7 linked regions of the Bombyx mori genome follow. The main gene of each other region encodes a partner of the protein of the gene in region 7 in a complex. Links are inferred from orthologs where the notes say so. Each region holds a gene or a part of one and is shown on either strand. Other genes may lie near its edges.

What was found.
Region 1: small nuclear ribonucleoprotein sm d2 (region 7) and puff-specific protein Bx42 share a complex: the UniProt entries of both Homo sapiens proteins name them as parts of the minor spliceosome. The link is inferred for Bombyx mori from reciprocal best matches to the Homo sapiens genes SNRPD2 and SNW1.
Region 2: small nuclear ribonucleoprotein sm d2 (region 7) and small nuclear ribonucleoprotein protein F share a complex: the UniProt entries of both Homo sapiens proteins name them as parts of the SMN-Sm complex. The link is inferred for Bombyx mori from reciprocal best matches to the Homo sapiens genes SNRPD2 and SNRPF.
Region 3: small nuclear ribonucleoprotein sm d2 (region 7) and small nuclear ribonucleoprotein Sm D3 share a complex: the UniProt entries of both Homo sapiens proteins name them as parts of the SMN-Sm complex. The link is inferred for Bombyx mori from reciprocal best matches to the Homo sapiens genes SNRPD2 and SNRPD3.
Region 4: small nuclear ribonucleoprotein sm d2 (region 7) and U4/U6 small nuclear ribonucleoprotein Prp31 share a complex: the UniProt entries of both Homo sapiens proteins name them as parts of the U4/U6-U5 tri-snRNP complex. The link is inferred for Bombyx mori from reciprocal best matches to the Homo sapiens genes SNRPD2 and PRPF31.
Region 5: small nuclear ribonucleoprotein sm d2 (region 7) and splicing factor 3B subunit 2 share a complex: the UniProt entries of both Homo sapiens proteins name them as parts of the minor spliceosome. The link is inferred for Bombyx mori from reciprocal best matches to the Homo sapiens genes SNRPD2 and SF3B2.
Region 6: small nuclear ribonucleoprotein sm d2 (region 7) and splicing factor 3B subunit 5 share a complex: the UniProt entries of both Homo sapiens proteins name them as parts of the minor spliceosome. The link is inferred for Bombyx mori from reciprocal best matches to the Homo sapiens genes SNRPD2 and SF3B5.

Annotation. Positions count from the first base shown.
Region 1 is NC_085130.1:3,027,660-3,031,800, forward strand, and holds the start of puff-specific protein Bx42, read left to right. Parts: upstream 1-1,341; 5' UTR 1,342-1,466; coding exon 1,467-1,483; intron 1,484-1,654; coding exon 1,655-1,806; intron 1,807-3,525; coding exon 3,526-3,683; intron 3,684-4,141. Other genes in the region: uncharacterized protein LOC101746654, read right to left, coding at 438-510, 616-657. UniProt on the Homo sapiens protein: Involved in pre-mRNA splicing as component of the spliceosome. As a component of the minor spliceosome, involved in the splicing of U12-type introns in pre-mRNAs.
Region 2 is NC_085117.1:15,790,773-15,794,017, forward strand, and holds small nuclear ribonucleoprotein protein F, read left to right. Parts: upstream 1-1,352; 5' UTR 1,353-1,430; intron 1,431-1,512; 5' UTR 1,513-1,523; coding exon 1,524-1,698; intron 1,699-2,356; coding exon 2,357-2,448; 3' UTR 2,449-2,745; downstream 2,746-3,245. UniProt on the Homo sapiens protein: Plays a role in pre-mRNA splicing as a core component of the spliceosomal U1, U2, U4 and U5 small nuclear ribonucleoproteins (snRNPs), the building blocks of the spliceosome.
Region 3 is NC_085122.1:328,611-332,620, reverse strand, and holds small nuclear ribonucleoprotein Sm D3, read left to right. Parts: upstream 1-1,210; 5' UTR 1,211-1,398; coding exon 1,399-1,708; intron 1,709-2,819; coding exon 2,820-2,902; 3' UTR 2,903-3,828; downstream 3,829-4,010. UniProt on the Homo sapiens protein: Plays a role in pre-mRNA splicing as a core component of the spliceosomal U1, U2, U4 and U5 small nuclear ribonucleoproteins (snRNPs), the building blocks of the spliceosome.
Region 4 is NC_085116.1:12,784,479-12,788,688, reverse strand, and holds the start of U4/U6 small nuclear ribonucleoprotein Prp31, read left to right. Parts: upstream 1-1,410; 5' UTR 1,411-1,533; exon of another isoform or gene 1,534-1,753; 5' UTR 1,754-1,765; coding exon 1,766-1,960; intron 1,961-2,033; coding exon 2,034-2,169; intron 2,170-2,344; coding exon 2,345-2,549; intron 2,550-2,883; coding exon 2,884-3,026; intron 3,027-3,852; coding exon 3,853-4,037; intron 4,038-4,210. UniProt on the Homo sapiens protein: Involved in pre-mRNA splicing as component of the spliceosome. Required for the assembly of the U4/U5/U6 tri-snRNP complex, one of the building blocks of the spliceosome.
Region 5 is NC_085131.1:3,909,943-3,913,442, forward strand, and holds part of splicing factor 3B subunit 2, read left to right. Parts: intron 1-1,306; coding exon 1,307-1,510; intron 1,511-2,058; coding exon 2,059-2,134; intron 2,135-3,346; coding exon 3,347-3,500. UniProt on the Homo sapiens protein: Component of the 17S U2 SnRNP complex of the spliceosome, a large ribonucleoprotein complex that removes introns from transcribed pre-mRNAs.
Region 6 is NC_085126.1:5,965,730-5,968,162, reverse strand, and holds splicing factor 3B subunit 5, read left to right. Parts: upstream 1-1,325; 5' UTR 1,326-1,485; intron 1,486-1,590; 5' UTR 1,591-1,596; coding exon 1,597-1,854; 3' UTR 1,855-1,933; downstream 1,934-2,433. UniProt on the Homo sapiens protein: Component of the 17S U2 SnRNP complex of the spliceosome, a large ribonucleoprotein complex that removes introns from transcribed pre-mRNAs.
Region 7 is NC_085132.1:3,762,098-3,764,884, reverse strand, and holds small nuclear ribonucleoprotein sm d2, read left to right. Parts: upstream 1-1,206; 5' UTR 1,207-1,282; coding exon 1,283-1,284; intron 1,285-1,386; coding exon 1,387-1,639; intron 1,640-1,931; coding exon 1,932-2,036; 3' UTR 2,037-2,287; downstream 2,288-2,787. UniProt on the Homo sapiens protein: Plays a role in pre-mRNA splicing as a core component of the spliceosomal U1, U2, U4 and U5 small nuclear ribonucleoproteins (snRNPs), the building blocks of the spliceosome.

The sequences.
Region 1 (4,141 bases), on a different chromosome or scaffold from region 7:
CATAATAGAATAATTCAAGATGATTTATTAAGTAAATTTCACATCAAGCCCCTCAAAATCCAATGCAATTGCATTTAAGTGATTATCTTCCAACTGCAGGCTGCTTAATTTAAGCAGTAATACACACAATTTCCACATACATATACACAATAGTTATGTGTCATTAGAAAAAAAAAACTTTATCTTCCATGATATAATCTAAAGAGCACCCAGACTATAAAACATAATAAATAATCATTACATAAACATTTTCATGGCTTAGTCCCTATTTGTACTAATAGCACATTTGTTTGCTCATTAATTGGCCCAAAAGAATTGCATAGAACAAATACGTTTTGTTAAAATAGTAAAGAAAATGTTGTACAGTCTGTGTTGACTTAAAGACAGACTGCTATGAAATTATAGATATTTTATAAAATTATAATTGAAAAGGATATAAATTATGATGGGGACTGCCTGTGCTACTTTCCCCACCTCCTCATCCGTCTGCATTATCTTCTTGATACGTCCCTACAAACAAACAATGTCATGATTTCACTAATCTCAGACTTTTATACATGAAAACAACACATATTTTAAGGTTTTTGAACATTTTTTAAGAACTTTTGAACTTACTGGTGGAAATCTAGCATTGTATTTTCTCTTCTTCAACGGCATTTTGTATGTACGTTCACTATAACACCAATTAAACAGGAAAAATAGTTAAATTTGTCTATAGAACTATTACTTCTCGCGCATTTTTGAGGTTATAAAAGGGAGACGTTCGCAGCCTACTTCATTTATATACGAATTTGACAGTTCGTCTCCACCTCTTTTTGTGACCATTTTGAAACATTGAAATTTTGAACATTAAAATTCATTGCTATGGCGATAATGATAATATTTTTTTCATTTTAAACTCTAAAGACAGTCCGAAAACATATATTTCGAAAAGAATGATGACTTGTGATTGTGAATAATTTTGTTTCAGTCAAGTTAAAAAAATCGTTCAGAAATATCATTTTAAAAACAGCATCGAGAACTATGAATTTTTATTGCGAATTCCTTCAGGATTGATAACAAAAAAACCGTTCAATGATCAACAACAATGGTACTATTTAATGTATAGGCGAAATTAAATAACAAAAGTTGGTTCGGATGTCTACCTTGCTGACAGTGTACCTTGATTTACATAATACGTCTTGTGTTATTTGAAAAGACCCCCTCAGCATTAGTTTACAATCTCTGCGGAAGAAAAAATCAAACTCAAATTGTCTTTCATTCATTTTATCACAAAATTAGATTACATAAAAACAATTCCATTCCATTTTTCAGACATACGACTTTATAACAAAAGATCAGATTGAAGGATAGTTCTCTTTACTATCCATTGGACGAATCGTACAGAGAAATAAATCAAATGTCAAAATAAATGAACAATGTCAAATTAGTGAAATGTCTACGGTATTTCAGATTCAGACATAAAAATGGCGTCGTTGTCGAGGTGTGTTTTAAATGAAAACAATCAACTTAAATACTTGAAATTGAATATACAATAAACGCCGAAATTAAATAATAACTGATTAAAGCTACTAGTTAAATTAACTATTGTAAATAAATAATTTCATACGTTTACGTATTGACAAACTGACCGTGGTTCACGTTTCATTTTTAGCTTGTTGCCTGCCCCTAGTCAGCAAGTGTGGGATAGAGATGATGAGTTGAAGGCTAAACGTGTCGGGAGTGCTCTTGTAGTGTCCCAGACCAGTGTGCCACCTTACGGTGAGAGGAAAGGATGGGTACCTCGAAGAGACGAAGATTTTGCAGGTCTGTTAAATTTTGTAGATAAAAAAGTGAATAACCCCCGAAGTGAGAATCAAGTCAAAAAGTAGGTTTTTATTTGAAGTCGGAAAAAGAGTATCATCATCGATTCTATTCATACAATAGCATGTTTACTTCTGACGTGTGCTTATCCAGATATTAATCAGTAGTTGTGGCTTTCATATGAATTGAGAGACGGGAATAACCCCCGAAGTGAGAATCAAGTCAAAAACTAGGTTTTTTATTTGAAGTCAGAAAAAGAGTGTCATCATTGATTCTATGCATACAATAGCATGTTTACCTCTGACCTGTGCTTAACCAGATATTAATCAGTAGCTGTGGCTTTCATGTGAATTGAGAGACGGTATGCCGCAGGGTGTTGGAATCTGGATACCGAACTAGATCTTTCAGTAATTCTGAATGTCATTCTTACATAAAAAACCAGGTTATTATAATTAAAGTGGTTTTTGTGACATAAAACTACATAGCCTAATAATATAATCTTAATAATAAAATACATAGCTTAGTAACTATTGTGATGGCTTGGGATACAGGTGTATACAAGCTTGTGTAATGAAATAAATGTAAATTGTAATAATATATTTACAGTAAGAACTTGCTTAATGAGTGATAATATACATTCCATCAAAGTAGAGTTTAATATGAAACAGCATTAAACATAATCTCATAATGTAAATAATGGGGTTAGGTTAGATAGAAAATTGGTGAGGTATATAACATTAAATACCTCACCAATTTTCTGTCTATCTTTCTCCTATAAAACAATAATCTATTTCTTACAAATATAGAAACAATAAATGAATATAGTCTGTATGTTTATGTTGTATTTCAGTTCATACAGTTTCTTCTGTATTGCCAATTTTCTGCCTTTATTTTGCCAGGTGGTTGGATGTGCTAACAGCCCACGTGATGTTAAGTGGTTACTGGAGCCTATAGACATCTACATCGTAAATGCCACCACCCACCCTCAGATTTGTGTTCTAAGGTCTCATCTTTAACTACGGCTGCCCCACCTTTCAAACTGAAACTCATTAATGCTTTATAGTGTAAATAGGCAGGGTGGTGATACATCCCCGTGCAGACTCACAATACGTAATACCACCAGTAATTACGCATTATAATTTTGTGGATTTGATTATTATTATGTGATGTTATTCCTTCACAGTGGAAATCACTTGTGAACATTTGCTAAGTACGTTCATTGGAAAAATTGCCAGATTCCTTATTGTTGTCGTTGCCAAATTTAATGCAGCACCAATTTCAGATTGACATTCACCAGTATCTAATCTTCTATTAGCTTGCATCTAGTTTCTAGGGAAATAGTTTTTCTTGTTGCTTTATTTTTGTGTTTTTGTTAACACCCATGATAAAAACTTAAAATAAAAATATTTGTCACTTTATCAATCATTGTATCATATAAATTTGTACTTACAATAACACCAACAAATGTTTGAAATGATAAAAATATGTTGGATAACACTGCAGGATAGGAAAAACACAGAATAATTTATTCTGATATCGGGAAGCCTAGTGCCGTGTGCAATTTCAGGTCTTCTTCAGGCAAATCTTACAATTCAAATAAAAGAGAGTTAAACTGAAATCCCACTGAACGAGTCAGCATTATGTCAGGGTCTTACTGTACTTTCAAATTACACCTAAAATTAATTATATACGCAGTATTGCTTCAAAGCTTGTATGTTTTAGATGGCGGAGCATTCCCAGAGATCCATGTGGCACAGTACCCGCTTGGTATGGGAATGCGAGGCAAGGAGAGTACTTCAAACGCTCTTGCTGTCCAGCTGGATGAGTCTGGGAGAGTCAAATATTCTGCGATTGCCAGACAAGGACACAGCGCTGACAAGGTGATCAGTTAATTATTTGACATGGTGAATGAGAACACAATAGATATTATTGTTGAAGTCCTTGATTACTAAACACTTAGATATGTAAACACATAATAGGCTGATTAGAGAAATAATTTAAAACATCTAACAAGTTCTGTGAAGTCTGTTAAAAATCTCTGAATCTTTATTTATTTTAAAAGTTTTTGACTGTAAATAATATGTCTGTGTAGAATAATTTAAATGTGACCATTGATGTCATTGTTGGAAAAGGCGCCTGTTTAGTTGAATGAACAAATATTATGGTACCATAATTATTTCTGCACAGATTTCAATTTTGTATCATATAACCAGTCATCTAAATGGATCGATAACTTAACATTAAATAATATTAATTGAGAAATAAGCAGTAACATAGTTTGAGCATTTCCTGAAACCATCTCTAGGAAAGTATTATTGGAAATTTTTCCAACCAACAG
Region 2 (3,245 bases), on a different chromosome or scaffold from region 7:
TATGTTTTTCATATAAGGTGCATTAATGTAAAAAATTGCAAAACTCATAGATAGATCGTAAACGTAAAAATCTATATTTTCATTGATTCAACACTGATTCACATCAAATTTTTACTATTCTGCAACACTACTTTGACATTGACTATTTGACGTTATTGGAACTTTTTTAATCACGTTAGATTGAATTCTGGTCTTTTAAGCCAAAAACCCATTGAAATAGTGTTTCGCCCATTTAATTATTCGAATCCATTTAACATTTATTTTAACAATATGTACATTTTGTCTTTAAAATGGTTTGGTGTTATAGCTCTACTCTCAGCATAAGCACTTCAACACACAATGTTGAAGTTCTCGTTTTCTATTCCCAAAATAGTTTTATAAAAAAACCGACTCTACTTTCAATTATTTGATGGTTTTTAGTTAGGCCAAAGATCGTTCATACCATCTTTAATTAAACAAACTTATCTAAATGTTTTTATTGCTAATATATAGTTTTATGGAAGCTTTTCACATATTTTTTCTTCTCTTCACATTTTATCAATAGCGAATTCCTCCAAATACGTTGAGAACTTTCAGCTTAGGTGTGTCGTTTTAGTCGCTACAAGCCCTTCTCTATTAGTTAAACATATTTGAAAGTGTAAAAGATTGTGGAAATATAACAAAATCACTGGACCTGACTTCTCAGGACTTTATGTTTATATAAATTAAAGAAAATAATTACCATTTTCTGTAGTTTTTTTTTCAACTGGGCTTCAATAATAATAAGATGAAATACATACTATTATTAATTTTTTACTACATTTTTTTAAAGGGATTTTATGACCTGGACTAACTAAAACTTTTAGGTCAAGTCTTATTTTAATTTTATGTTACGTAACTTTTTTATATGAAAATTATAGAAATGAAATGAAGTTGAATAATATGAAACATGGCATGAAGTGAAATGAAAACGAAATGAAATGAAATGAGATGAGATGATATGGGATGAAGTATAATCTCAGTAAAATGGTGATCATTTACTGAGACTTTTTCAGTGGACTTTTTGGAAGATCTCGAGAACTTACGTTCAGTGGCTTTGTTTCGTTTTCCCACATTTGTGCACTTTCACAGTTACAGTTAAGCAGTTAATAAGCCACCGTTATTACACATTTAAACCTGAAGAAAGACTAATTAGACAAAATAAAACAAACCACTCCTCGCGTTCCCGCCGAAAAGTCCTAGAAAGAACTAATTATAATAAATTTTAAACTACCTGTGTTTTATCTATGGTGGTGTATTATCTATGAGTAGCTGATGGCCGTGTTGCAAATTCAATGCTTTCATAAATAAAAAATAAAAAAATATCTATGAGTAGAAATTAGCGTCGAACTCGAAGCGAAGCCGATACATTTTGAGGTTATATTTTGTATTTCTTGTTAGCCGATATTAAAGTAAGTACTGATGTTTCTTAAATAAGCAATGAAAACAATAAAGGTGGTTTGAAAATGAATTAACATCCAATTTACTTTTTAGAACCTGCAAAAATGGCGGCTGCTATGCCAATAAATCCCAAACCATTTCTTAATAGTCTAACGGGTAAATCCGTGCTAGTTAAATTAAAATGGGGTCATGAATACAAAGGTTTGTTAGTATCAACAGATGGCTACATGAATTTGCAACTTGCTAATACTGAAGAACTTGTCGATGGAACTTGTACAGGTTAGTATTTAAGTGAACAACTTTAAGTAATCACGAAAACATATTAAAGCAAGAGATTAAGATCTACTGGTAGTGGACCTGGACCAAAATTGAATTAAAAATGAGACGTTCATTGTTTGTTTGGTCTATTATGAGTACACTATTCTGCACCCATTTCGACTTCAAAGCTTTCAAGCATTCTGCTTTGAAGAGTAGATTTAATATTCATATTGTAATAAACTTATAAATTCTAGAAGCCACTTAACACTAAATGTCATGGGGTTCATTTGCCCTTTTAAAGAAAAAAAAAGTACTTGCTACAAAGAATGCACAAAATCAATAAATTTCATAACAAGAGACAACTTGACACTTACAAGATTCCAAACCAAACTTTTTGGTTGTGAATAGTTTTGTGAATTTAATTAATTTAAATTAGTAAATAAAATTTAGAAATCAAATCTTAACATTTAAATATTTTTTTTTATATTTTTTTTTAAGAATCTTTTTTATTGTAATTCAGTCCATGCTACATCAAACTTAATGAAGTCATATCAGCAGAGTTCTGTAAAGCTTTAACGGCGTTTGTTTTGAATACTAGTTCAGTTAGTTCTGTTAGTCCATACATACAAAACACTAAATTAAGAACCCTATTAATTTAAGTATTGGGTTTTATTTCCAGGTAATTTAGGTGAAGTTTTAATAAGATGCAATAATGTCTTGTATGTAAGAGGAGCTGATGAAGAAGATGAAGAAGGAGAAATGAAAGAATAATTAGTAATTATTACATAAGTTAGAATAAGGAATTATCTTAAGAATAACAGGCAAAAGGGAAATTTTAAGCAAAAAAATAGAAATTTCATATTACTCTGTTAGCAGTAAAATTACCTTAGGTATATATCCCGAAATACTAATGATTGAGGAGAAAAATGTTAATTGGAACTATTGTTGTATACAATGTTTAAATGAAACAACTTTAATACTTTTTTTTTTTTAATAACTATGTCTGAAACAACCTCTTCAGCATGAATTCCATAACTTGTATAATTAATTATAAGTAAATTTTCACCATAACCTTGTTTTATTTTCTCAACACTAACTTTACAAGAAAAGGTTTGCGATTTATATTGTCCTTGCAAAAAATGAGCATGTGAAAACAGGGAAATATATTGAAATCTAATGATCTTCAATGTATTTTACCCCATTCCTTCTTGCTCTTTTTTGGCCTTTGGGTATTAGATTCCAAATTCGTTTAAAAACACAACCTCATTCGCAAAAACAATTTTCATTTAAAAAAACTTTGGTTCTCATTCTGGTTATGATTTGAAACTAAAAAGTAAATAATACAACCTTATTTTAATATAGTTAAAGCTCTAGAAGTGACTAAAAAGAGATGCATATTATTTTATAGTATCTAGTCTGTGAGAGAACGAGATAGAAAACTCCTACAGGTTACACTTCTACATTTTGCGAATTGCTGCACACTTTGTATTGCTCTGGATGAAGAAAAAAGCTGACTGCCTACTTGGTATTAAGTAGTTGCCATAGCCCACTACATAAATCATCACTCA
Region 3 (4,010 bases), on a different chromosome or scaffold from region 7:
CATCAAGATGACATTCCACCGCTCCGCTGGCCACTTGGAGTTATACAAGAGGTGTATCCAGGTGCCGATAACATTATACGCGTTGCTTTGGTAAAAACGAAATCTGGATTTCTTAAACGTCCAGTTGTAAAATTATATCCGCTACCGCTAGAATAAATTAGAGTACCGCATGTCATCAACCGCTTCAACTCTACTCGTAAACATTCATGATGGCTTATTATTAATTAAAATTTGTTTCTTTTCAAATAACTTCCCGCTATTTAAGCTTTATGCTTCCTATCTTAGTATCTTTATATATTTGTTGAAAGTCCTGCGAACTTTCAAGGCGGGCAGGATGGTCACGCGGATTTAGTAATGGGATGCTAATGAATTATTGGGATGGCGCCACCTTTGGAGTTTGTCAGTAACTAATTACCGCGACTACCCAAAGCGTGGTTCTACCCGATCGATCACGCTTTACCGCTAGCTGCCTAGATGGCGGCACTTGTATATTGTGTGGTGCTTGAGCTTACGAAAAGCTACGTGAGCTTCGTCACCCCCTCCCGCCGCCCGCGTGCTTCCATCGCCGACGCCCGCACGACAGTCACTGGCAAGATCTACAGGTGAGTGCAAGTTCTTTTAATTTATTGCCATTTTATTGCTGCTTCGTGTAATCATTCGCCCGCCCGCTCGCTTATGTGTATTTAATTTATATCTTTAGTTTGATTACTAGCTTTTGTTTACCGCTATATAGTTTTACCGCTCCGCTAATTATAAGTGACAAACATTTGTCACATACCGCTTAGGACGGCTATTTACACGCCTTTCTACAACCCCGCTTTATATGCTCCCGCCGCAGGAGGGCTATTTACACGCCCCCTTGCTACCCCAAGCATAAAGCCTAAGCACCTAGCTTTTTTTACAAATGAAACTAGGTCTATTAGGCTATGTACAGTGAAATGTAATTTATTTAGAAAAATGGTTGGAATTAACTAAGATTACATTTAACTTTTTGCAAAATCTCAATAGTTATACCCTGCGATGCTCTTGCATTTTCAAACCGAAAGGTAGTACTACTTTACGGCAGGAATAGGTAGGGTAGTGTTGTCTGCCTCTGTGGACTCGCAGACATCCTACCATTCCTACCACCAGTAAAGTTGATTTTCACAATGCTAAGGGAATTAAAAATCATAATGGATTTTTGGTAATATGGGTTATGTTGTCTTTGTCTGTCAATGAATGAATAAAAATGTCTATTGTCTATGCACGGAACTCGCCGCCATATTACATTAGATGTCTATGGATTTGAAGCGTCTAATTTTTTTGAAATATTCTTTCCCATTTTTATCGTAAATAATCTAAGAAATAATACTGAATTATTGTCCTTTATCGTACGTTTTTCTTAACTAAAACGTAAACATGTCTATCGGTGTGCCTATTAAAGTACTTCACGAGGCGGAAGGTCATGTAGTGACTTGTGAAACAAATACCGGTGAAGTTTATAGAGGGAAATTAATTGAAGCTGAGGATAATATGAATTGCCAAATGACTCTCGTAACAGTCACATACAGAGATGGCCGAGTTGCACAGCTCGAGAATGTGTACATCCGTGGTTCCAAGATCAGATTTTTAATATTACCGGACATGTTGAAGAACGCGCCAATGTTCAAAAGACAAGGGAATAAACCTACTGCAGGACGAGGGAAGAGTGCGATACTGCGAGCCCAAGGTATTGAACAATATAAAAATAGTGTGTATGTGATTTGTTTATCGAGCTAGGTATCCTAAATGTTCTCTCGCATCACATACGTAGTGATTGTGTTCATTATCAACAAGACAACATACGAGTGTTAATATATGAATGAGTGCTGTCTGACTTGCAGTCTAATTACATCTAGCACTGAAATTGTGAATATGCATTGTTCTTAATTTCGTTTAATTCAAAGACTTAAAAAAGAATAAACATCTTTAGCTTAGAACAACCCATTTCTTTAGGCTTGTTATAAATTAGACTTGAGTGAAGTCTATTTAACAATTACTGCACTATATAACCAAATTATTAAACGAAAATTTCTAAGTAGAAAACGTATGCAAGTATGAAAGATAAGCACATTTAATTACAATCAATAAATAGCCTTCATTAAAATTAGTACAAATGCATTGAATACATAGTGATCAATTGGGTCAAATGAGCAAAAAATAGGTAGTTTGAAGCTTTGATTTTTTAAATGTCTTGTTTGTTTATATCCTGTATAGATATTTTTTGTCACAGTTTTTTAATAGTAATTGAGAATATTTTACAATTTTTCATTCTTGAGTGCTTATATAGACATACAATGTCAAATTTGCAATTTTAAGTTTTGTAATATCAAATCAGTATTTTGTTCCAATGTTAATTGTTTCTAATCATTCAACTATATGTTATTGACAATTTTACTTTGGGTGGTTAAAGAAAATATGTGAATGATGAGACCATGTCAAGTACCTAATGCACACAATCTCACACATCTAAAGTAAAACCTATTTTACATAATGTTATGCAAACTAATAACTGTATCTATTACATTTGTGAAAACCCATTCTTGTGTATTTAAATAATTACGGCAAATTTCTGTTGCTAAACAGGAATGTGAATTGATTTGACGGGCTGGACAGTAACTACAATACATTTGAGCGATCAAATATATGTATCTCTTCATACTCATCTCAAGTATCATGCCAACCAGCATCCTTATTTTGATGTTTGTGGGCCACAGTAAATCATTAATCAAGTGGGTTGTAAGCTTACTCACACATCTAGAGGAATCAAGAAGTAAAATACAAATCTTTGAAATTTTCAGCTGCTGGTCGAGGACGAGCAGGTGGAAGAGGTGGGGGCCACCGTGGAGGCTGGCAAGGTGGGTCAGGACCATCTCGACGCTAGCGTTAAGATATTTTTTAGATAGCTTAAGTTGTACTTGTCTTATATTTCAATTGTCAAGGAATTATTTCATTATCATTCTTATATATTGATATATCTAAGTGAGAAAAATACAAATTTTGGAAATAGAACAACTGTTTGTTCAAAGATTATTATTATGTTCTCAAATGTAACAATAAGGTCCTGTTCCAGATTTTCTGTTTTTTTATTTTGGTCACCCTTCAATCTGCTTTACACATCTTAGGTCTCATGGACCATTTGATCAAATAGACACTACACACTGATGCTACCCTATGGTGACTTATTGTGACTCCCAATCAATACAATGTTTAATCTCTATGTTCTATCCTTATATCAGTCCCAATAATCTAGAAATCTTGTCCATATGATGGGTAATAGTTCAATCTTGTTTTGGCTTGAGGAAATATCTATGTGTGGTTTATGCGGGGGTGACTATTGTAATTAAATATAAAAAGTTATTATAAACTGCCTTGTACAAACCAAACTTAACCAATGGCCGAGTTTTGACAATGTTTTATCCATATAATTTTGAATTTTTTTGCACTGTAACTGGAGCCTATAGACTTTATGAAGGCCTGCACCTACCATGAGGTTTGAGATCAAAGTCCCAGTTGTACTGTTTGGGATAAATGCTGTCTTAATGGGCAAATTGGAATGCTTCGCAGCATAAAACCTGCAACAATCATGCATGTTTGTTAAATGTGTGTAACTCGGCATCTTATCCTTTAGGACACGACAACCTCTTATGCAAAATATTTTTAATTTGAATGTTTTATGTTCGAATTTAGATTAGTTACAAACAGTGTAACAAGTTTACTGAGACTGTCAGCAGATATGTGATAGGATGTGTCGTTGTGGGTGTGAATATCAAAAGATTGAAAACAAATAAAAAACAATTTGGATAATAACTAGTGTTTTTATTTATGAGACACGCAGTGTCAACTAACTATAATTATTATTAGTCAAATTCCACTGGCCACTACTGCTTCTGAGATAGTATAATAATAGAAGTCATGACGGCTTCACTGTACAGACGCACAGGACAGTGGTGTCTAACCATACAAGCTCACACTGCACATCAGCACCTCAG
Region 4 (4,210 bases), on a different chromosome or scaffold from region 7:
CTAAAAAATTGAATAGGAAGGTGTTCACTTAACTTTATTTAAATATTAGGCGTCTACACACCACCAACAAAAAGCCCAATTCCAGCCGAAAAATTCAAGATGTGACGAACTGACGAAAAGGGGCTTGAAAATTTATTCTGCTTGTTGACAGTTATGACATATTTTTTTTTAATGATTCTGAATGTAGTGTCTAAGAGGTATAAGATCATACAACACTACTATTTTCTACTAAAGCTGAGCTGTTTCCACTATTATGGATTAAAAGTATTAAAATCTAATGCTCTGACGTACTTTTTAGGAAAATCCTGTAATATATTTTTCAATTGTTATTAGAAAATAAGTCAAACTTGATCCACGTAATTCTTCAGATTAAAAGTACATTTCTTCTTCTTCGTCGCTTCCTCATTACTGTGGATCATGAGTCGTGACCACCTTGGTCTAATTGCACTAGTTTCCTACAATGCTGCCTGCATTTGGCCTGCTGAATGGCACCCGGAACGCTGGTGTTTGTGGCTTCCTTGGCAATGTCCGTCCATCTGGTTGGCAATCTTCCTCGAGCTCTCTTTCCTTCCACGTGACCTACAATTATTATTTTTTCCAATTTGTCAAGATTTCGTCAGGTCACGTGTCCGAAGTACTTGAGGAGATGCTGCATACAGATCGTAGATAGACAGGTCTTGACGTTTAGCTCCGAGAGAATTGATACATTTGTTCGGCGCTCCGTCCATGATACGACCAACATTTTGCGCCAACATCACATTTCAAATGCGTCAATTTTCAATCGGATACGGGCCTTGAGGGTCCACGTCTCAGAAGCGTACGAGAGTATGGAGAAGATAAGGGTTCTCATGAGCTTTATCTTAGTTTTTTGTTTATGTTGCGATTTCTCCAAATCTTCATAAATTTGATTCAATTCTTAAAAAAAAAACCAAGACTATTTCATTACAGCTTTCAGTATTTTTTAAATTGTAAAAAACAATCAAAAGTCACCGTCCTGTGAGACCTTTTGGCGGGAACGCGAAGAGCGAAGTTGTGTGAATTGTTTTAATTTGTCTATTTAGTATTTCTTTAGGTTTAAATGTGTAATAACGGTGGTTAATTATGAACTATTTAGTATTTATGAATATGCACAAATGTGGGAAAATGAAATAAAACTGCTGGGCGCAGCTTCTCGGGATCTACTGAAAAGTTCACTGAAAAGTCTTAATAAATATCTAACCACTATTTTACTGAGATTATATTTTATCCCATATCATCTCATCTTATTTCATTTAATTTCATCTCTATTAATGAATATCTCCAGTTAATCAACTTAAATTCATTTAGCTTCATATCATTTCCATGAAAGAGAATCTATAATTTATGAATAAACATATCGTATGATACCTTCGTCTTTATACTTGGAAAAATGGAATTACTACATACTAGGTAGGTACGGTACTACTTACTACTGTCAAGTACCGTACTGTCACTGTCATTTCTGTTTACTTTTCAAATTAACTATTGCAAATATTAGTCGCCGTAGGTACATAGGTAGGTAAATCATTTAGTTTTGGGTACAAACTATTGAAGTTTAATGACATCGCTGACTAAAAAATCAAATTAATATCTATAATGTATACTAAATGAAATATACTGTATAGCTGTGAAAGTCGATTTGAGTAAAAAACTGTAATAATTGTAGAATATTACAGAATACAATAGAAACAGAACAAGCTCACACATAAACTTAACACTCAGAAAATCAATTTAGTTCTACAGAAGCATGTCTCTAGCTGACGAATTACTTGCTGATTTAGAAGAAAATGACGATGGTGAACTCGAAGCTGCTATCGAGAGCAAAACCAAAGAAGAATACGACTTTGCAGTTCCATATCCCGTCTTACCTAAAGAAGAAGAAATCAAGAATGTCTCGATAAGAGAACTCGCGAAACTAAGATATTCTGATCGTCTGAAACGTGTATGTATTTAATAAAGTTTCTTGAAGAACAGTTTAAATATAAATTACAATTTTTCATGTAAACAACTTTTAGGTTATGAGTGAAATAGAATGTAATGCTGGAAATAACAGAAATAAGGTTGAAGTTGCTGGCTTAATGGAGTCTGACCCTGAGTATCAACTGATTGTGGAAGCAAATAATGTTGCTGTTGAAATTGATGGTGAAATAGGTATGCATTCCAATCTCCATTTTTCATGTGTTGATTTGTTTATTAAAACAGTTTCAGAGAATTGAACTTTTATGATTGAACGTAGTGTTAATAGTTCTCTTTTCATGAAATTATTATCTTGGTTGTCTAATTATTACTGCTTACAATATTAAAGTCAAGAAATGCAAATTTTCAGCTATTATTCACAGATTTGTCCGTGACAAATATCAGAAACGGTTTCCTGAATTGGAATCTCTAATCATCACTCCATTGGAATACATAAGGACAGTGAAAGAACTTGGCAATGATTTGGACAGGGCTAAGAATAATGAAATATTACAGAGTTTTCTTACTCAGGCCACTATTATGATTGTTTCTGTTACTGCATCTACAACTCAAGGGTTAGCTTCTTATTTGTTTTCTATTTGTGGTCTATTTTGTTTGCTAATATAAATCAATGCACTCACTCTGAGAAACATCGTGCCACATGTCATTGCAACGCGAGAGCATTGGTATCGCAGAATTCGACTGATACATGACCACAACCACTCTGTTAAGACTGTACGACTAGGAAGAAGAAAGAATAAATGTAAATAAAAATGTAGAAATGCAACATTTCAAATTCATTTAAATTATTATAGTGGACTAGAGTACAAAACAGGGACTTTGAAGATTTATTTTGATGAACATTTTGTGTAAAATAGTTACTTATTAAACAACTCAATCATTTGACAGGAAATTACTAAGCCAAATTGAACTAGAAGAAATCAATGAGGCCTGTGATATGGCAAGTGAGCTGAACAATTTCAAATCGCAAATATATGAGTATGTTGAAAGTAGAATGACTTTTATTGCACCAAACATAACTGCCATTGTTGGTAAGTGATACATTCTGTTGCCTATAATTACTAATATAAATTCTATTTAACACTCCCAAAACGATTAGTGGTAACAATTGTGCAATCACCCTTAGCCAACTGCAATTATTCCCCTCATCATATAATTTCCAAAATAGCAGAGTATTAGAAGGACCAAATGCCTCTTTCTGCATTTTTTGAGCCTGGCAGATTGTAAGTGCATCAGAACTCTAAATTGTAACCCTTTTAAAATAACATTTGCTTGGCAAAGTAGAGAAACGATCTGTTGTTAGAACGAGATGTTTTTTCTGTAGCAATTTATTCCCTTTTTACAATGCTCAGGAGGTCTGACCTGTCTGGTAGTTTGCACTCTGTTCTTGTCCATCATTGGATGGCCTTATTTATACTAAAACTATATCCAAAAATTTGTTGAGAGTGCTCGGGTTCTACGTTTAACAAGCCACCCTCCAATGGTCTAGACATTAAAATAATTTAACTAATCCCCCTCGCGACAAAATATTTAACCATATTGATATATTGGTAGTTGTTAATCAACTACAATAGAATATTTCTTAAATGAATGTGAGCATATTAAATGAATACTTTTTCTAATTGAAGGGTATGTGTGAATGAGTTCAGAATTATCCTGGTGATAAGTGGTTATCGAAGCCCATAGTAAGCACAATGGCACCACAAGCTCTTAGTTATATTTTATAACCCATCACACCATCCAAGCCAGAACTTAACTGCTTCATGGCACAAATATCCAAAGACAATGAAAACTACCCATGCGGGCTTACAATATGTTGTACCACCTGCGAATTTCTATCAAAACTATGTATTTCAGGAGCATCAACAGCAGCAAAAATCCTTGGTGTGGCCGGTGGATTGTCTAAATTATCAAAGATGCCAGCGTGTAATGTGTTACCTCTCGGGCAACAGAAGAAGACACTGTCAGGCTTCTCGCAAGCAACAGCTCTACCTCATACTGGGTTCATTTATTTTTCACAAATTGTACAAGATACAACACCTGTGAGTAATTTGAATATGATGATAATATAATATGAAAACATATTTTTTTAAGTATGACAATGGTATATTGAAGTTTTTGGTACCGAAATGTATTTTAGCCGTTTTACTCAGACTTAAACATTTTCTACTCCTGCAGTATTTCAGTTGAATTCTTAAAGATGTGATCACTATAA
Region 5 (3,500 bases), on a different chromosome or scaffold from region 7:
CTAAGACCTTTAGGTTATGTCTTATTTTAATTTATATTCTTATTTTTATGAAAAATGATAATATAGAGTGAAATGAAATAAAGATGATTGATTTGAGACGTAAAAAAAACTGGGATGAAATAAAATTAAATGAGGTGAAATATAATCTCTCTTTTGAAGTCGTCGTGGCCTAACGGATAAGACGTTCGGTGCATTCGTGTTGAGCGATGAACCGATGTTCGAATCTCAGGCGAGTACCAATTTTTCTAATGAAATACGTACTCAACAAATGTTCACGATTGACTTCCACGGTGAAGGAATAATATCGTGTAATAAAAATGAAACCCGCAACGGCTTTGTTTCATTTTCCTACATTTGTGCACTTTCACATATATTAAACAGTTAATAAACTACTGTTATTACACATTTAAACATGAAGAAACACTAAATAGACAAAATAAAACAAAACACACAACTTCACTCCTCGCGTTCCCGCCAAAAAGTCTCGATTGTTGTGGATAACATCTTATTTCATAATACGCGCGATTGTGGAGACCATTTCAACATATTAGCTGGCTGCAACGTCTAGGCAGTACCAATCGGAACCTATTATCGCTTCGTAGCAGAAATAGACAGGGTGATGGTACACGTCTGTGAAAGGTTAAAATTCTCGGAAAGTTGTTCTATGTTAATTGACACAGTTACTCGAAATATAGTATATAAAACAGATTTTTTTTCATCATCATCATCATCATCATCAACAGCCCACAGTCGTCCACTGCTGGACATAGGCCTCTCCCAATCTACACCACTGAGCCCGGTCGGCGGCTCTCCTCATCCACTTCTCAGATTTTTTTATTCAAATGTAATTAATAATTCCCCTGGTTGATTTATTCGAATCTAAATGGTACTAAGTTAATTGAAATAGTACAATAAATTTCCCAGTAACAAATTTAATATTTCTGAAGTGAAAACATTACATAGCTATGTAATAAATATTTTAATTTTAAAACATTTTTATATTTAACTAGGTGTACCCGTCCGCTACGCTGGGCATTTAAAATTAACATTACTATTTCTCACCCCCACAAAGATTCTCATCATTAACGCCCCCGCAACTGGTGTAGGGAGTCCAATACTCATATAAATATTAGCCTATCCATTAAGTACATGTATTGTCTACATGGATACCAAGTTTCATGTCGATCGGATGCATGGTTCAGTAGTTATAACGGAACATCCGTAAAAACCACTGTAGATTTATATATTAGTATAGATTATTAAATACAATATTTGCTAACGAAGGACATTAAATGTATTTTTATAGGTACCACCGCCGTGGTTGATCGCGCAGCAGCGGTACGGGCCGCCGCCCTCGTACCCGAACCTCAAGATCCCCGGCCTCAACGCGCCCATACCCGAGGGGTGCGCCTTCGGCTACCACGCCGGGGGGTGGGGCAAACCGCCCGTCGACGAAATGGGAAAACCGCTCTACGGAGATGTCTTCGGACATCAGACGAGTGGACAAGATGTGAGTTGGACTTTGTCATACTTTTTTTTTTAATCCTCCTTTGCTGATAGCCTTGAGAGGCTATATCAGCGTCGCCTTAACTAGTAGGTGAGCTCACGGGGCTCAAACCTGATGAATTTTGTTATACTACGTTGCGGATGAAATATTAATGTCGTGTGGCAATGATAATAAGGCTCAAACTCTTGCAACATATCCGTAGAAACTTTGACTTTTTCAAAGATGATTCCTTTTTTTTTCATTTCTTTCCCCTATTAAATATTACAATAAACTCATATTAAATGTTCTGTGCAAATCTCTGAATAATTTTCTGAATTAATCTCATAATTGTCAACATCACATAATAATTAATTGACCGTCTATCTCATATTAAATGGTTACCAGAACCTGTAGATATCATAACGAGAATTCTCCTACCCCCTTTGCGTACATACAAGACTAAAGTCTCAATCATGTGATACCTCATATTGCAAATTGAAATGCACAAATGAATTATCTCATAATAAGTACATAATGTTAATGTAATTTATTGTTTAATCTTAATTCTCTAGGACGGCGAAGACGTGGACATCGACAGGACAATGTGGGGCGAACTGGAGTCTGAATCAGAAGAAGAGTCGGAGGAGGGTCAGTATTTGGGTGCTCTTTTTTTCTTTGATTGCACGTATGCGGATCCCTCGGAATGATTTGCAAATATTGCACTAATAATAAATTAATATTCAACCCTTACAACCCTTATCGAGGGGCGAAAGGTTATTTGCTTCAAGCGACATTTCGCAAATTTACAGGAGAGCCATTTAAAGTTTTAAACTGGGAAAAGATATCATAAAAAATCAAGCTTTTTCAGCTATTTGAATGGAGTAAACTTAATTGAAGTCCAAAACATCGAACTGTTGATGCTAATATCAAATAAAACGCATCTTTAATTGCAAAGATAAATGAGTCGACTATTATCAAAGCCGGCAATCTGACTTTTGGATAATTATTGGTAAATCAGAAAAACGAATTATTGACTTTGTATTCCATTGGCAGTCACAAAACTCTTCAGAAAGACATCTTAGATAAATAACAGGTTAACTATTAACCTTTATTTAATGCAGGTTTTGAACCGTATTCTTTGAAGGAGACGATTATATTCAAATCAATCTGTATTGACATATCAATAATTTTTTTTTGTCCAAATGCACAGATTGCCACCTTTGATAATAGACGACTCAAATGTCGCTTACACCAAATAGCCTTTTACCCTTCAAGGTGGGCTCCCGGCCCGTCGAACGTGGCAATCCATAGCATATCACATAGATCCCGCCGGCGACACGACCGCCGGTCCGGCGTCTGGGGTACGGCGGGATGGATGTAATCTGTTATGCGTAAACCCTGTCCCGCCGTCTCAATAACTCCAACTGGGCTCCGGCCTGGTCCGAGGTAGGGCGCCGGCTGTGAGCGGCAGGAGTTTTTAGTGAGGTTCAACTCCCACATAACCCACCCGCTGCGCGGATGGGGATCCGGCGATTTTCTCCTGTGGAAAAAAGCCTTTGATATGTAAATAATAAGAAAATACGTTTTAAAATTTCGTTAATTTTTCACGAATTCATACAATTAATGTAAATCTATTTCTTTCTTCCCGATCCGGAGTACTACGACTTTGAACCGAAATCATTAATATTTTTTTTAAGTGATTTTATGACCTGGTAACTAAGACCTTTAAGTCATAAAGTTATTAATTCATTGTTAGTGCGATATTTGAAAATAATTCCGCATGGCGATTAATCTGTCAAAGTCGAATAACATTGCAATGAAAATGGTGAAAATTTCGTCTTGAATGTATGCTGTATACAGAGGAATCGGGCGAGGAGGGCGAGGCAGAGATGGGCGGGGTCGGCACTCCCGCGGAGGGACTCGCCACGCCGCTCGGACTCAGCTCCGTGCCGCCCGGACTCGAGACTCCCGACAGCATTGAACTCAGGAAAAAGAAATTGGACTCCGATCTTGA
Region 6 (2,433 bases), on a different chromosome or scaffold from region 7:
TAAGTTTATCAAAAATATTGAATAAACACGGTAGTGTATTTTCTATGGCAACTGGTTTTAAATTGATCAATTAATCAACATAACAACATACCAAAGAGTTTAGAAATACGACGATATCAACGTACCCTAGAGTGTACTTTGTAAGTACTCTAAGTTGATATGTAACTGTGAGCATAGAAAATACACTTAATTAAAATACCTGTGAGCTTAAGATAAGTGGATGAGGAGAACCGCAGACCGGGCTCAGTGGTGTGGATTGGGAGAGGCTTATGTCCAGCAGTGGACGACTGTGGGCTGTTGATGATGATGATGATGATGATGATGAGCTTAAGATTCCATGATAGATGCAGCTGATCTAGCGTGGTTGTAATTATGTATATCTCACGGGTTTTTTTTTATTGCTTTGGTGGGTGGACGAGCTCACAGCCCACCTGGTGTTAAGTGGTTACTGGAGCCCATAGACATCCACAACGTAAATGCGCCACCCACCTTGAGATATAGTAAGTTCTAAGGTCTCAAGTTTAGTTACAACGGCTGCCCCACCCTTCAAACCGAAACGCATTACTGCTTCACGGCAGAAATAGGCAGGGTGGTGGTCCCCACCCGCGCGGACTCACAAGAGGTCCTGCCACCAGTAATTACGCAAAATATAATTTTGCGGGGTTCATTTTTATTACACGATGTTATTCCTTCACCGTGGAAGTCAATCGTGAACATTTGTTTAGTATGTATTTCATTAGAAAAATTGGTACCCTCCTGAGATTCGAACACCGGTGCATCGCTCAACACGAATGCACTGGACGTCCTATCCGTTAGACCACGACGACTTCTATCCTTCCTTTACCTTTTTTTACTTTTTATTTTATCTTTTATTAACCTCTTTGCTTTAATAACTTTGTTGCGTGAGCTGTAGAAGTGTAGTTAATAGTTAATTTTGTTAACTTACTGTTTTTTTGTTTGTTGAAACGTGCTATTAATGAAAAATTGTAACCGTTTAGTATCTCTAAAAGTCCACAAGTATAGGAAAATGTGACAACACAGCTGTACTCAACTGTTTTGGTCAGCATTATCGGCAAACGAGTATCTGTCCCACTTAATAATAAGTGGCGATCGTCTCTGATGAACGTCAACGTCAGAAGCATAGACTAAGACTAATTCCACTGCCGGGGCTCTTCCCAAGCTTCGTTAAAAGATGAAAGCTTATTTCAAAACCAGATGATATGTAAACAGATCTAAGAACTTACTGTGAAAGATGCAGTGAAAGAAATAATAAAAAAAACTGTGCACAACCTTTGGTGTTTAGATTTCAACGTTAAGTATTGTATCTATGGTTTAGATACGCCGTGTCTGCAGTAATCTGCACTGCAATTTATGTATTGTCTATGAATACTCTTTGTTTTGGGCTGCTACGTGATATCAATATTAGCTGAATTAGAATATAAACTTTAGAGTCTATACGATTTCAACAAGCATCTTGCCTTTAAAGTAAGTGTGTATATTTTATTAGAAACGTTTTATTTATTTTATAACCATTTAATTTTACATTAATGACATTACTAACTCGAACTATAACCTTAAAATAATTTACAGAATAAAATGGGTGAAAGATACAACATTCACAGTCAACTTGAACATCTACAGAGCAAATATATAGGCACAGGCCACGCCGACACTACAAAATATGAATGGCTTATGAACCAACATCGCGACTCTTGCTGCAGTTACATGGGTCATCCGGATTTGTTGAGTTACTTTGCGATCGTAGAAAATGAATCTAAAGCGCGCGTAAAATTCAATTTGATGGAACGAATGCTTCAACCATGCGGCCCACCGCCAGAAAAGCCTGAAGATTAAACGCTTCGATTTTAAAAATAGAATTAAGCTAATTTACTTATTATTTGACTTTGAATCCCTTATCATGACATAAATTCGAGCAGTTTGTTTTCATTTCTATAACCTTTAACAAACACAATTAGTCTATTCAAATAGTACCACCAAAAACTCAACTATTATCAATAAAAACTACAAATTTTAATAACAGGTATAGTTTATAGTTTAGAATTGGTTCAATGGTCAAATGTTTGACAATCTTATTTTTATATACAAACTTGTTTCATATTGTTTTATCTCAAAGAAATCAGTTTTGATTTCCATTTAGCCTTATATATATACAGTCAAAATCTGTTATAACGACATCGAAGGGACTGCTCATATTCAGTCGTAAAAACCGATAGTCGTAACAACCGGTAATGTTTAATGTGTATCGTGCAAGTACAAACAAATCGATAGGGAATTATTGGAAAAATATATTTACAAAATACGTGATTTTTCTTCAATATTAATTTGTTTTCTTTTTCTTTGCGACATTTTCAAAGTTTCACGAATAACTCCACAAAGTTTTGGTGCGTTTTATGTATAGATAAGTAATAAACT
Region 7 (2,787 bases):
CGGTAATGAAATAAAGAAATTTAATTGAATATGAAGTTCGTTAACATAAAATAAGCATGGCATATACAAAATTGCTGATTATATGATCATGACTTTGTATTTTAAAATTTCCTTAAGCGCCTTATTCACGATCCATCTTGCTGTACGTCCCGCCAAGGCCATGCACGATGCACGATGCATTTAGCGCTTTATTCACGATCCGTCACGGCTGTACGTCAGCTCAAGACCGCAGTGCTGGATGTATCAAGCGCGAACAGAATAAATCGAACGAATTAAATGAGGGTTTTAAGTTAAAATGCCAGCTGCTTTATCAAAACGCCAAAAATGGGAGTCCTTCTGATGTTGTCAGCAGCAGCAGAAGAGAGGCAAAAAATAGCAAGAGGTTTTGGATGATTTTTTTAAACGTGCAGAGTATACTCAAATAATTAATATCATTTTTTACGCACGCTATCAATCCTTGCAGCTTCCCCTAAAATGGGCCTAAAAATTGTAATACGTTTATTATTTTTGGTTTATTCATATAGTCTGCGCTTGAGACATTCCACAAAAATGTGGAACTTATAACTTTCAATAAATCTTGAAAGGGTTTCACGATCCATTTTGACGTGCAGTCTCCTTTCGAAACTCTTCGTTAACTTTAATTTCAGTATTACCACCGTCTTTTTACGATTTCATCAATGTCAGTGTCGAGTTAAAAACTGACATTTAGTGGCCATAATTGTTTGTTGAAATAATACTTTTTGGCGGGAACGCGAGGAGTGAAGTTGTGTGATTTGTTTTATTTTGTCTATTTATTTAGTGTTTCTTCAGGTTGAAATGTGTAATAACGGTGGTTTATTAACTGTGTATTATCTGTGAAAGTGTACAAATGTGGGAAAATGAAACAAAGCCGCTGGATGTAACTTCTCGGGATCCTCCAAAAAGTCCACTGAAAAGATCTCAGTAAATGACCACCATTTTACTGAGATTATATTATATTTCATCCCATATCATCTCATTTCATTTTATTTCATCCCAGTCGATTAATGTCCCAAATTAATCATTTTCATTTCACTCCATATTATCATTTTTCATAAAATTAAGAATATAAATTAAAATAAGACATGACTTACAAGTCTTAGTTACCAGGTCACAAAATTCCTTACAAAAAATTGTTGAATTAAAAAGCAGAGTCACCATAGACAAAATAAAGCGTCGACTTAGCGTGTGTACGATAGTTTTGCTGTAATTGTAATCTTTTTCACTCAATTTCTCAGTTCACAAGCCCATAAAATAATACAAAATGTAAGTATTAATATGATTTACGTAGTTTTAACAATATATTTAACATATTATCTGCTTAGCCGGTAATGGTCAACAATAACTCTAATGTTAACCTTATTATAGGACGTCAACAACTAAGCCACGCTCTGAAATGACCCTAGAAGAGCTATCTAAAATCGAAGAGGAAGAGTTTAGTACCGGACCTCTTTCCGTGCTCACGCAGTCAGTAAAGAACAACACACAAGTTCTGATAAATTGCCGTAACAATAAGAAACTCCTGGGTAGAGTGAAGGCTTTCGACCGGCATTGTAACATGGTATTGGAGAATGTTAAGGAAATGTGGACTGAGGTACCGAGAACTGGCAAAGGAAAGAAGGTAAACAGATGTTACTGTATTTCAGTTCAATTGATTCAGAAATTTGAGGTTATGTATTGGAAATAGGAACCACTCCCAAGCGCTCATGTATAAAAGTGCTACAGCTCCAACTTGAAAAGTACACAATAAGACATGATGTCGCGTATTTTAGGCCAATATTAGCGGAGATAAAATACAAACCACTGGAAATTCCCAAGATGACAATTATGTGGATATGAAACATTCTGTGTTAGCTCATTTCATTAAAACTCTTCAAATTCAAAATACGTATAACTTCTGGTTTTATTTTCAGGGCAAAGCTGTAAACAAGGACAAATTCATCTCCAAAATGTTCCTCCGCGGTGATTCTGTGATCTTAGTACTAAGGAATCCTCTTGCTACAGCTGCAGGGAAGTAATGCAGTAATTAGTTTAAGTATTAATGAATAAAATATTCAGGAAATGAATAGCTTTACTGGTTCATTCCTTAAACTGTAATAATACTTTTACAAAATTGGAAACTGTGTTAGTTCTATGATTCTGCAACTATATGTAATAAATAAACAAACTCGATATTTTAATATATTGAAATTGTATCAAGTTCACATATTGTAAGATAAAGCTAAAAACGATCAGTTATTATAATGATGCATTAAAAGAGTCTCACCAGTATTGTTGTTAATATTAGCATAAAATAACTTCATATTAGTGGCTGAACATACCAAAATTGAAAAAAAGATACTTACTTTTGGTGCAAGTAGTAACTAACAATTTTGTAAAATATAGATGCTTTAACATTTTTAAAGAAACATGGCAAAATTACAATGGTCAAGAAGTCCACAAACCTGTCAATAAGTTTATAATTTCTATAATAAACCAAAGTGTAAAAGTGTGTTTTTAATATGATTTTTTTCATAGCCCCTTATTAATTTGTGCAAATTAGATCTGATGTACATCATGGGATTAAGCTGTGCAGTCCAGTCCAATATTTTGTTAACATGTTGGTTTCATGACAGACACTATGAGTCCACAGCATACTTTCCCCTAGGGTAAAAAAATGTAGTGTTTTTTCAAAAATATTCTCAAGAAATTACTCAAAAGTAATGAGTGAGGTATGGAAACAGTGACTAAGTATTGTTTTCTGAGATATTTCAAATGGCAGACAGTGTC